Sus scrofa: one gene and its partner. The protein of the gene in region 1 interacts with the protein of each later gene in a pairwise test. Links are inferred from orthologs where the notes say so. Each region holds a gene or a part of one and is shown in the gene's direction. Other genes may lie near its edges. The genes, in order: RBM10 and RBM12B.

Region 1 (6,140 bases):
CATTTCCTAGTCACCTTGTCTATTAAGTTGAGCTAGAGCAAACTGACATTTTTAACAGGTCAAAAATTATTGAATATTGGCAATTTCCTATGGCTCAAACTAATAAAATAACTCCCTACCCCAAGTCACTATCCATTCACTTATCTTGCTTAACAGTCTTTCTAGCATTTACTTGTTTGCCAAAGCAGTATAGCCCCCAAATCCTCTGATCACATTATCTTATATTATTGATTGCATACTTTATATCACTGGGTTTTTTTTCTTTTTTATCTTTTTGCCTTTTCTAGGGCCGCTCCCACGGCATGTGGAGGCTCCCAGGCTAGGGGTCCAATCAGAGCTGTAGCTGCTGGTCTACACCACAGCCACAGCAACTTGGGATCCGAGCCACGTCTTCGACCTACACCACAGCCCACAGCAACACCGGATCCTTAACCCACTGAGTAAGGCCAAGGATCGAACCTGCACCCTCATGGTTCCTAGTCGGATTCGTTAACCACTGAGCCACGACAGGAATTCCTCTATATCACTGTTTTCTAATATTCTATACATTTATTTTCCCTGTTCTCTGCTATCATGTATGCTCTGTGAAAGCAAGGGCTTTATCTAACTCCCATGTGGCTGAATCCCTAGCACCCTGAACTTAGCCTGGCACACAGCAGGCCTTCAATACATATTTACAGAATTAATATATAAATGAATAAGCATCCTACAGAGCCAAGCTCCTCAACCAAAGGTTAGTATTGATGAAGCATCTATCACGTGCCAGGCCTTTTCACAAGCACAAACTGCACAATATCCTGGTAAGGTGGAAAGTGGCAAGAATAATTAACAGCTTCTAATGGTGAGTACTTAATAAGTGCCAATTGCTGTTCTGAGCACTCTGACTCATTTAATTACACGAGGCAGGTGTAATATTTTATTTTTTAGAAAGTGTCCTAATACTTTCCCCATCTTTCAAAGAAACTGAAGCACCAAGGGGTTAAGCTACTCGCCCAAGGTCACATATGTAAGTAACTATCAGGGCCTGTATTCCAACTCAGGCATTCTGATTTCAGTCTCTGCTAACAGGATAGCACAGCAGACCTGATTCTGCCACACATTCAGTTAAGTGAGCTTGGAGGAGTCACTTAACACCTTCATGCTTCAGTTTCCTCATCTGCAGAATGGGTATATTAATAGTACCTACCTCGAAATAGGGCTGTTTTGAGGATTAAATAAGTTAATATTATAAAGTGTTTCGAACACCTGAGCAAGGACCGTATCAGTGTTTAATATTATTGCTGTTATGGTATACTGCTCATTTCAGGTTTGATATCTGTCTGGAAAATAAGGTCAGTCTCGCCTCTGGCCCTGAACCGAAGGTTATCAGGGGACAAAGGAGGAAAAGGAGCTAGAAAGAACTCCCAAATCTTTGAGGATTTTGCCAGCTGCGCAATCCTCAGCCGACTAAGTACGTCCTCTACGGCGCCCCGTCCGCAGGTCCCCGATTGACCCTTGCGGCGTCCCGTTTCCCCTCCCTCTCACCTTCTCATAGAGGTTTTCGTCCTCCGGATCTGGGTCCTCCTGCAAGCGTATAGTCGGTTCCGGCGGCCGCTTTCCCACCAGAGCGGACGGGGCGATCACAGCCCTGGAGGAGCCGGACTCCCAGCGAACACGGGCAGCCGGGAGCCCTCGCGTCGCCGCTGCTGCTAAAAGGCGGCGAGCGCACAAACCTAACACCCCGGCCGCCATGACAGCTCGTTCTGCAGGCTCGCGGGGGCGGGGACGGAAATGTGACTCTGCGCAGCTGCAGTTGGGCCTGAGCGCGAGAATTGTCGCTCCGCCCCCGCCGCACTAAATAGGTCCCGAGTTGGGATTTTGTTTTCAAACGTCCTCTTTCCCTCCCTCTGTCATGGCCTCACGGGAGCAACCAGCTTCCTATCTTCTCGGTCAGGCTGTGGAATTTCTGGCCGAAAAGGCTGCTTATTTTCTTGACGAGAAGAAAACGGTGACACTTGGGTGGATGCAGTCCCCAACCAATCTCGAGGAGAGTTCCCGTGCCCTTTGGCGAGAGGGGCGGAGCTTCCGCTGGTCTTTCATCTTCCTAGGAAGCCGAGCTTCTAAAAAGCGGGCCTCGCCGGATTGGCCAATAGCTACTCTTTTTCTCGACTTGCGGGCGTTCGCACGGGGAGCGGGGTGGTGGCATGCGCTTGCCAATCAGAGCAGGCCAGGGCTGGCCCACGAAGGACGGCGACCAATAGACGGGGCCGGCCAGAGCGCGCTCCCTTAGTAGGTGGATGGTGGTCGAAGCGCCGGCTCCCTTCTCGTCGTCGCCATTTTGTGCTGGTGATCGCGGCCGGCTGGGAGTAGGCGGCAGTGAGTTGCCCGGGGAGGGCAGCGCGCCTGGGCGCTCCTTCCCTCCCCAGTCCTCCGCCCTTCCGCATTCAGCCTCGGACTGGGTCGTTGCGCGGACCGGCTCCGGCTGAGCTGGGAGAGTTGGAGGAGGTGGCGGCGGGCCGAGGTGATGTCCGGGAGCCCTCCCTTGACAGCCCGGGCCGAGAAGGTGAGCGTCGACGCTGGTCGTGGGGGCGGAGGTAAGGGACCGGGGGCGGGGGTGGGGGGGGGAACGCGTAGAGGAGGCGCGAGGGCGAACTGCGGGCGGCAGGTTTGGGTTTTCGTGCAGAACCCCCGATGCTCACACGGTCTGTGCTCGGGAGGGGGTGTCTTTTTTTGTTGTTGTTTTTTGTTTTTCTCCTTTTGAGAGCAGAGGCGCGTGCGCGATTGGGACACAGGATGGGTGCACGCGGGTTGGGGGAAGGGAGGGACGGATGGGAGTGGGTTACTGTGGCTTAGTGTGTCTGCGACGCCGAACTTTATCCGTGGGAGGCGAGTGTCTGCGACTTTGGTTTTTATCTATAGGAAGTGTGCTGTCTGCTCTCCTGTGTGACTTTGGTACTTACCTATCCACGGGGAAGTGTTTGGTGGCTCTGGTCCTTATTCTTGAGTGGGGGAGGAGGGAGAACGTATGACTGGGGTCTCTATCCTCGGATCGTGTGTCCGTAACCCTGGTCCTTATCCATGGGGAGGGGTCCTTATCCCAGAAAGTCTTCTTACAACTGGCCCTAATCCACTTACTGGGTGGGAGGAAGTGCAAGGAACGTGTGTAAGACTTAGTGTCCCTTCTTTGCGGGGGTGGGGGGTGGGGGAAGAGGGTGTTTCGTATCTGTTACTCTGACGCTCATCCTGTGAAAGGGGGCCTCAGTGGATGATTATGGCTTGTATTTACCCTGGATTCCTGTCTGTGATTTTGGCCCCTAGTTATTCGGGGCTTGACTCTGTTGAGTTTGTTCCCTATCTGTTGTGGATACCAGTGTATAACCCTGGCTCCTTTGCCAGATCTAAAGGGTTTTGTGTCCGGCTCTCATCCACTGGAGCCCCTGGTCGTGATTCTAACTCTTAGCCATCCGGGAGCGGGTAGCGCTGGTTCTCTGTGGCTTGAGGAGGAAGAGAAAATCGGTGTGAGTGTATCCGCGGAGGAAAGGTGTAGTGGCAACCTAGTTTGGGGCAGGTGCTGTTACCACCTGGCTTTGCCTGAGTCTTGTTCAGAGGGTGGGGCCTAAAGATTCCGGGATACTTTGTGGTGACCCCTGGCCTGGTCTCAAGGCTCTCAGGCCTTCCTTAGTTCTCACCGGAGCCTGAGGGTTGGGTAAAGTGACTGCCCATACGTCCCGGAGGAATAACACATCGGTTCAGAACAGGCTCCGAAAGGACTCGTTTTGCTTCTGAACAACTCGGGTCCAGAGCTCTGGGGAGGGAGCCCCCTTGGGGGACCTGGCTGTGCATAAGAGACAGGGCTCAGGGCTGAGCCAGTTGCGGTGCGGAGCCAAAACTGTGTTGGCCAGGAGCCTAGGGAGGCGGCAGCTGTGTCATTGCCAAGTTAGCCCCGTCACCCCCTGAGCCTTTCGTGGTCTCCTGCCGTGTCAGAGTGGGCAGCCAGCGTCTTTGGGGGAGGATGAAATATTCCCTGGAGGCTCGCGGATGGTAGCCTGGTGGGTGCCTGGGACCCCTGTTGTGGTGTCTTGCCCCGATGTCTAATGTGCCTGATCTGAGACAAGTCACCCAGCACTGAGAGCCCACTCTCCCCTGCTGCCCGCCCGGGCAGATAGCTCTGGGCTTGAACTTGTCTACCAGTCTCCAATGGCAGAGCCCTGATCACAGACAGCATGGGTGGCGCCACTGGGTCTCTCTGCGAGATGCTCCCCCTCTGCTGAAGGCTATGCTGTGTCTAGGGTGGCGGGCTCTAGCTTCACGTTTGTGGGGAAAGAAAGGAAGGAGCAAGCCAAACAGGGACTGCCTTCCTGCTCTGGTCCCCAGGAGTATTTCGAGTTGGGAAACAACATCGCTGGGCTCAGGGACAGCAGAGAGCCTTGAAAAGGTTTTTTCAAGGAACCCGTCTCTGCCTCAACTGCCTTGACCCCTTTCTTCCTTCTCCTCTCCCTAGAGTCCCTGCAGGAGGCATCGCCCAGGCTGGCAGATCATGGTGGCAGCAGCGGGGGTGGCTGGGAAGTGAAACGGAGCCAGCGGCTGAGGAGGGGCCCCAGCAGCCCCCGCAGGCCGTATCAGGACATGGAGTATGAAAGACGGTGAGTTACCCACTCCTACCCCTTCCAAGCAGCCTAGGCTTGTCCTTGTGTGCGAACTGACCCAGGAAAGCGCTGGGAGGGGGCTTCCGGGCAGGGGGAAGGAAAAAAAAAAACAGCACAGCAGATGATTGGTTTCTTTTCAGCAGATGTTTATTTGGCACTTGTGAGCCAGAACTTGCGCTAGGCTCTGAGAGTGCATTGGTGAATGAGATAGATAAGATTGCAGCCTTTGGAGTTCCTGTTGTGGCTCAGCAGGTTAAGAACCCAACATAGTGTCCATGAGGATGTGGGTTGAATCCCTGGCCTCTCTCAGTGGGTTAAGGATCCAGCGTTGCCAAGCTGCAGTGTAGGTCGCAGATGTGGCTCAGATCTGGGGTGGCTGTGGTGTAGGCCAGCAGCTATAGCTCCCTAGCCTGGGAACCTCCATATGCTGCAGATGTGTGGCCATAAAAACAACAAAAATAGGATTGCAGCCTTCTCCTTACTTAGGGTCTCACAGGGGATATTACACAGTTACAGATGATTACAAAACAGCTTGATTGGTGTCGTGTTTGGTTACAGGGTGGGAAGGGATCAAGAGAAAGGGAGGAATGGAGGCTGATGCCCAGGTTTCCAGTCTGGTTGACCCAGATAGGTATATGGTGCCATCCACTAAGATGTGGACAGCCCCTGCAGGAAGAGAGGCGTAGGTGGGTGGCAGGTGGGTGGTGGGTTGTAAGTGCCTGTGGATTCTCAGGGGAAAGGTGTGGGCTGTAGCTTTGGGTTTGAGGGATGGATGGGAGTGGTGCCTTCAGAATCAGGAATTGCCCAGGTCAAGTATGGGGCAAGCCAGGTCAGCAGGTAGAACTCAGCACTGCATTTTTAAGATCTGGGATTCAGGGACAGGGTGGGTTGAAGTTGGTGTGATATTTATCTTGGAATGGGACACTCTCGGATAGTTATTTTTAAACTCTGGTATGAACAAGAAACAGTTGGGACACTTGGTAAAATACAGAGATCCCTTTTAATGTCTTACAGAGGGTTTCTTCTACCTTTTAAAAACTGTAGAATTATAGTATCTCATTTTCTGAAAACTGAGCCCAAATTCTAGATGTGGTCATCATCAGTCTTTGTTTCAGAATATCTTTTGAAAGGCATTCAATTTTGGGTGGTATTCACTGGAAGCGCTCTGTGGCAATTTCTTAGTTTGTGTAGGTAACATACTTGCTTCAGACTTTATTACCAAATAAAACCACTGACTTTCTTTTGGCTTTTAAAGGACCCCAAGTGCAAAGGTTTGAGTTAATCATAGTTTTTCACCTCAAGGTAGGCTTCTATCATAGGTTGGTACAAGACCTTATATTTATTTTTTCCTTTTTATTTGCAATTCCCATAGCTGTAGGCAGCTGCTCTGTTGTGTTTGAAATGTACCTTCCAAAATATGTAGTGTTGTTTTCAGTGTCTGTGTTTTCAATTTACACAAATGGTAGAGTGCTACAGTCTTCATTCTGTTTCCTGAACTTTGTACTACTCAGCACT
Region 2 (6,139 bases), on another chromosome or scaffold:
GTTTATGGCCAATGAAGTGCTGGTCAGCTTGAGTTGATCTTAGGTTCACTTTACTAGTGTTTCTTCTTGTGAATTAATATTGACAATATTGACATTTTGGAGCATGGTTTCTGTGTGCTTGTTTAAAGGGAGTTTGCCTCAGAAGACAGAATCCTCTCCTTGTGTAATACAGAGCAGTGTTCTCTGGAAGCAAATCATTATGGTTCAATTCCTGGCTTGTATTATCTCTGCAACCTTGGGTAAGCTAAGTAATCTTTTATGCCTAAGTTTCTCTTATTTGAGAAATAGGAAAAATAACAGTACCTACTTCCAAAAGTAGATGTAAGAATAAAAATGAGATAGTGCAAATTAACTGGCACATAATAAACCCTCAATAAATGTTATCTGTTAAGTTCAGTTTCTTGAGCTTGCTAGGCTAGGACCAAACCTTAAAAGTTTGGGAAATAAGATAAATGCTACTAGAAGTTCCATCATGGTGCAGTGGGTTAAGGACCTGGTGTTGCTGCAGCTGTGGTGCAAGCTGCAAGTGCAGTGTGGGTTCCATCCCTGGCCTGGGAACCTGCACCACATGCTGTGGGTGAGGCAAAAAGAAAAAAAAAAGATAAATGGTACCTAGTCATTGAGCCCAGCTCCCTGAGGCGATATTTACTGCTCCTCTGTGGGAGCACCTTGACATTTGAAACACGAACACTTACGTTGCCTCAGATATTTACATATATTTACTCATTGAATGTTTCCAGCAACCCTAAGAAGGTATTAACATTAATCTCATTTTACAGATGAGGAAACTGAGGCATAGAGGCGAAGTAATTTGTCCAAGTGAGTAAATGGTGGCTCTTGCTCAGGGAACCACCTTTTTAATTCATTTGTTAAACTACCTCTTCTTTGTTATAGAGAATGGGTATTTTGCTCATGGAGTTCCGGTCATGGCTCAGTGGTTCACCAACAGGACTAGTATCTATGAGGATGCAGGTTCAATCTCTGGCCTTGCTCAGTGCATTTGGGGATCTGGCATTGCCATGGGTTGTGGTGTAGGCTGGCAGCTGCAGCTCCTATTTAGTTCCTGGCCTGGGAACCTCTATAGGCCTCCAGCGCTGCCCTAAACAAACAAACAAACAAACAAAAAGACAAAAAAAAAATTTGGAGTTCCCTTTGTGGCTCAGCAGTTAACGAATCTGACTAGGATCCATAAGGATGAGGGTTCGATCCCTGGCCTTGCTCAGTGGGTTAAGGGTCTGGCATTGCTGTGAGCCGTGGTGTAGCTCGAAGACCTTGCTAGGATCCCGTGTTGCTGTGGCTGTGGCAAAGGCCTGCAGCTGTAGCTCCAATTTTCCACCCCTAGCCTGGGAACTTCCAAATGCCACAGGCGCGGCCCTAAAAAAAAAAACCAACCAAAAAAGCCCCTCATTTTTCTCTCTTATCTGTAATACTGCTATAAAGTAAGTTTCTACTTTCTTAGTGAGTTTTGATTCCACCCATAAGCGCATCATGAATTATAACATGTGATGCGTTGCTTTGCAAATAATAAAATAAAACATAGGGTTGTTCACCAGCTCTTACATAGTAGGCACCACAGCACATGCCTGTAATTGTGCTTTTCACGTCCCAGTTTTCAAAATTGGCCCAAGTGTTCTCACGTTTCAAAGGACCAGAAGGTAGGAACAACAACTGTATAAAGCACTTCTTCATAAATGTCTATAAAACGGAAGAAGCATGCACGTATTAAGTCCCTGGGCGTTAGCACTGTACCTGGAACATCTAAGGCAGTAGCACTAACATTTCTTTGGCCTTTTAAAAGTGTTTACAAAGAGCCTTTCGGAAGATGCTTAGAACATATAACTGCAGCGCTGAAAGACGACGAAGAAATCGCAAGGTTTTCTCTGCTTTTGTATCTCTTCTTAACTCCTGCGAGTCACAAACCTTTGCCTAGTCTATCTTGCCTGTTGCCTACTGAAGCTTCTCATTACAGCAACCGGTAGTCCCTGAACTTTGCCTTAGAACGTCTCCTGAGTACAGGTTCCAAGGTTGGCTGGAATCTGAGCATGCGCAGGAGCTCAAAAACCCCAGCAGGGGCGAGAGCGCTCGCGGGAGCCACCTCCCTTTCCCTGGCAACAGGAAGCGAGCGAGCGTCAGAGCGCGTGCGCAAACGTGGCCGGGGCGCCGGGGTGGTGGGTTACGCCTGGAGAGCGCATGGGCAGACAAACTGTACGTCCGTTTGTCCGGAGCGGAGGGGAGAGTGGGCGCCATCTTCTTCTAGGCTCACTGAGGGCTCTACCTGTTTTGGGGAGGCAGCTTCGACGAGGAGTGCTCCCCGTCCCCAGCCTTGTGGTTCTGATTCGGCAGCAGCGGTGTGTGTTTACTGCCAAGTGCGAAGCAGTTACCCTTGGGGCGTCGGGGGCGGGGAGGGGTTGGCGGCAGGGACGGAAGCACAGGGAAAGGCGGGGCGGCGCCAGGAACTAGCGTAGCTTCTGCCGTTAGGGCACCCTCTTTCCTTGCTAAACACCGACTCCCCCGACAGCCTCCATGTGGTGTTGTGTTTGCACTTACCAGTCGGCACGAGAGTGAAGATCTCGAAGGATTTCATAGGTATTTTTTTCTTTGCTATGTCATCGTAGTCAGTGGTGGCAGAAAAGCGCTGAAGGCCCAGCTCATTAGGCTTGAGAGGGGCCAGAGTGTTTGAGTTAGGTGTGGGAGCAGTTCACCCTCTGGAGAGTTAGGGTGGAATGTTTGCCCTTGGGACGGTGTAACGGAAAGGCACGGAGGTTGGGCGGTCCAGGTTAATTTGAAGGCTGATTTTGGCTGAAGGTCTGGCGACAGCATCGGATCCCACGTAGAAACTTTGGCTTGGCGCGAAAGAAGGAAGCTCTGACCCCTGGGAGTATGGACAAAGGCTTTGGGCTATAGAAGCAATGCCTTCGGAGGACCCCCCCCCCCTTGAGGATGATGGATGTTATGGGAAAACCTGTGCCGTGTGGATTCGTCTTCACTTACGGTTCCTACTGGGGACTTTGGCTCTGTGTCGTCATGCCTTTGATTTTTATTTTAACCATCTGCATTATAAAAGGATAAAAAAGGCATATCGTCATAAAGAATCTTTGTGGACCGCGGTAGATTTTATTCTGCAGGGGAAACTCATGCATTTAGAATTGGAATGTGCTTCATCGTAACTTTTTTTAAGAAATAGTGGCAGTTTTCTCTCCTTCACCGTGTCTGGAAAATGACTTGCTGTTCTCTAGTTAAAATAAATGGATCTGAGATAATATCTATTTAAATTTAGCATTCCTCCCTTTGCCCTCAGGCTTAATTAGATGCACGTTTCCTGTTGTTTGTGATAATCGTGATCGAGTGGGATGAATGGTGGGATGAAATCAGCAAAATAATTTAAAATGAGCTTGGTAATTTCAGCGACTTGCCCTTAATTGAGCTTTTAAGGACCCACTTTTTTCATAGGTTGAAAGTTCTTACGGATCAGTCTTTAACACAGTCACGAAAATACTTTTATTGCATTTATAAGTAGAAAAATGTAGGTGCAGAGTACTGTAGAGTATTGTTGTGTTTTGCTTTTTTGTGTGTGTAATGCTCCAAAAATAGAATTTTTCGGGTTGCTTAAGGAAATATCTATGGGAACCACAGGAAAGGTGCTCATTTTGAGAGCTGGTCTCTTATAGGTAGTCTCCTAGGTGTTTTTTTTTTGTTTTTGTTTTGTAGAGGGATAAATGGTACATTACTATTTCAAGGGCAAAAAAGTTTAAGCAATAATTATATTTAACTGTGGAAAATTAGAAGACAGTTTTTATATAGTCGAATTGGAATTTATTAATTTGTACTCATGGAACTACTTAGTTAAAATACTGTTTTTAAATTAGGATAAATTACCAGACTGTTTTTTTTTTTTTTTTTTTTTACTTTGACAAACAATAAGTATTCTTTGAAAGGACCTCAGCTTTTCTTGTAGGTATATTTATGTTCCCTTTTAAATTTTTTTAAAAAGTTTAAGAGGGATAAAATGTTTATTACACTGCTTTCTAAAAATACTTTAAAGGTAAAAAAGGAGTAGCTTATTTTGTGTAGGAAGGAGTCTTGGGACTTTAATGTGGACAGCTATTCCAGAAGCCATTTACAGTTTCTGTTAAAAATGTTGTAGATGTTGGTTTGCTGAAGAAACTAAGCTTTTTTTTTTTTTTTTTAATAACTTTCAGATTTTTTTCTCTAACAGACACTTTTTCATAACAGTTTTTCGGGTTCACATTAATACTGAGTGGAAGGTACAGAGATTTCCCATATGTCTCCTGCCCCCACACATGTAATGTGCAGATATTTTAACAGTAAACTTCATTAATACATTTTTTTTTGGCTGCACCCACTGCATATGATCTTTAACCATGGATCAAATCTGAGCACCTGCGGCAACACTGGATCCTTAACCCACTGCACCAGCCAGGAGTCAAACCCATGCTCCTGCAGAGACAGTGCCAGATCTTTAACTTGCTGTGCCACAGCAGGAACCCATTAATATTTTAATTATCAATTTGGTATTGATAATTCTGATGTGTAAAATGTGCCAGTTAATTTGATTGTTAGTTGACCTTATAGTTTAAGAAGTTTAATCTATGGACCTTTTTCAAAGCAAAATAAACCTTGTGGACTTAAAGACCATGTTTTCAGACACCACTTTGTGGAAGAGTGGTACTTAAGTGAATTAAAACATTTATTTGCACATTAATAACAAATTTATAATTATTAACTTAGCAGGTCTTTAAAAAAATCTACAGTAAATATTGTTAGTTTGGTATCTCTGTAAGTATTAGATGTAAATTTCCTTAAGGAAATATTAAATTGAGATTTTTCAGTAGTTAATACTGATACCCCCAAATATTCCAAATCAATGTATTTTTATTATATTTTTACTTTTTACTTTGTCATTTGGGTTTCCTCAGAATGCAGAACAGTTGTTTGGAAAGTAATATGCTTACTAGCATAATAAGATTCTGTGTTTATCTGCACATTTTGTGTTTGGCTTCAGATGAATTTTAATAGTAATTGTATTAGGAATTTAAGATGAGGAATAACAGGTGAGCTTAAGATAAAGAGTAGTATTAGTTGAGAGTTTTGTTTTTAGGGATACTTTACTATTTGTCTTAATTATAATGGAATCAGGAAATTTGGGTCCATGCTTGAAAGTGTGGGACGTATATGTAGAACTTAAAATTGTATCCAAATGGTAGCCATTGGTTTGGATTTATTGCTTTAAAAATTGGTTTTTGAATTTGAAACATTAGTGTTTTGTTCATTTGGTCTTATGAAAGGTAGGAGATTTACAGGAGAGTTGGACATAATGAGTTAGATGTTTTGTCTTTTCATGGGTGGAAGTGATGATAGATGTTTGGTGGGGAATTTTTGGTGTTTTTAAAATGTCATTTTACTTGTAGAACAGTTGTCTTTTTTTTTTTAAGTGGATATGAAATGTATATACAGTGAAATGCACAGACTTTACAAGATATTATTCATTTAGCCTTGATAAATTTATATACCTATGTACCCAAAATCCAGTCAAAATATATAATATTTTCATTACCTTTTTCCTTTTGCCTTTTCCAATCAAGGACTGATTGTTAAATTTTCAGGGTTTTTTTTTGTTTGTTTTTTAATTTGCAGATATCTGCTTGGAATTTGTACTTCCTTTTTGCTGAAGGATGATTAATTTCCCTTTGGAACAAAAACAACCATTTTATAATGCCCTTAGTTGTGGTTCCTTATATTGTTTCACCTTTAATAGGTAATTCTGTAGTGAATATCCTAATCTGGCGTTGTTTAAGATCGATTGCAGGGTCCAAGGATTAATTATATTTCATTTTCTTTCCACAGTTAAGTTGCTTTTACAGAATTAACAGGTCTCCAAGAAATAAAAAAAGGTAAGATATCCAGAGCTTAAGGCTTTTCACAGAGGCTTGACAAAAAATGTAAAGTAGAATAGTACATCTAGGTACAGGTGGCTTCTGTACTTTATATCTGGCCAATGATGCACTAGTGGTAGGCATTTTATTATCATGAACAGAAATTATATACTGACCATAGATGGCTTTTCTAAGTATATAAAATTCTTTGTGGTTGGTAAAAGTGTTTAATCCTTAAAGCTCTC

What was found.
Region 2: the proteins of RBM10 (region 1) and RBM12B interact in a two-hybrid assay, tested with the Homo sapiens proteins (3 studies listed by BioGRID). The link is inferred for Sus scrofa from reciprocal best matches to the Homo sapiens genes RBM10 and RBM12B.

What each region holds. Positions count from the first base shown.
Region 1 is NC_010461.5:41,771,717-41,777,856, forward strand, and holds the start of RBM10 (RNA-binding protein 10), read left to right. Parts: upstream 1-2,181; 5' UTR 2,182-2,503; coding exon 2,504-2,573; intron 2,574-4,480; coding exon 4,481-4,622; intron 4,623-6,140. Other genes in the region: NDUFB11 (NADH dehydrogenase [ubiquinone] 1 beta subcomplex subunit 11, mitochondrial), read right to left, coding at 1,525-1,731. UniProt on the Homo sapiens protein: Binds to ssRNA containing the consensus sequence 5'-AGGUAA-3'. May be involved in post-transcriptional processing, most probably in mRNA splicing. Binds to RNA homopolymers, with a preference for poly(G) and poly(U) and little for poly(A).
Region 2 is NC_010446.5:42,944,736-42,950,874, forward strand, and holds the start of RBM12B (RNA-binding protein 12B), read left to right. Parts: upstream 1-2,166; 5' UTR 2,167-2,190; coding exon 2,191-2,205; exon of another isoform or gene 2,206-2,586; intron 2,587-5,655; exon of another isoform or gene 5,656-5,865; coding exon 5,866-5,912; exon of another isoform or gene 5,913-6,139.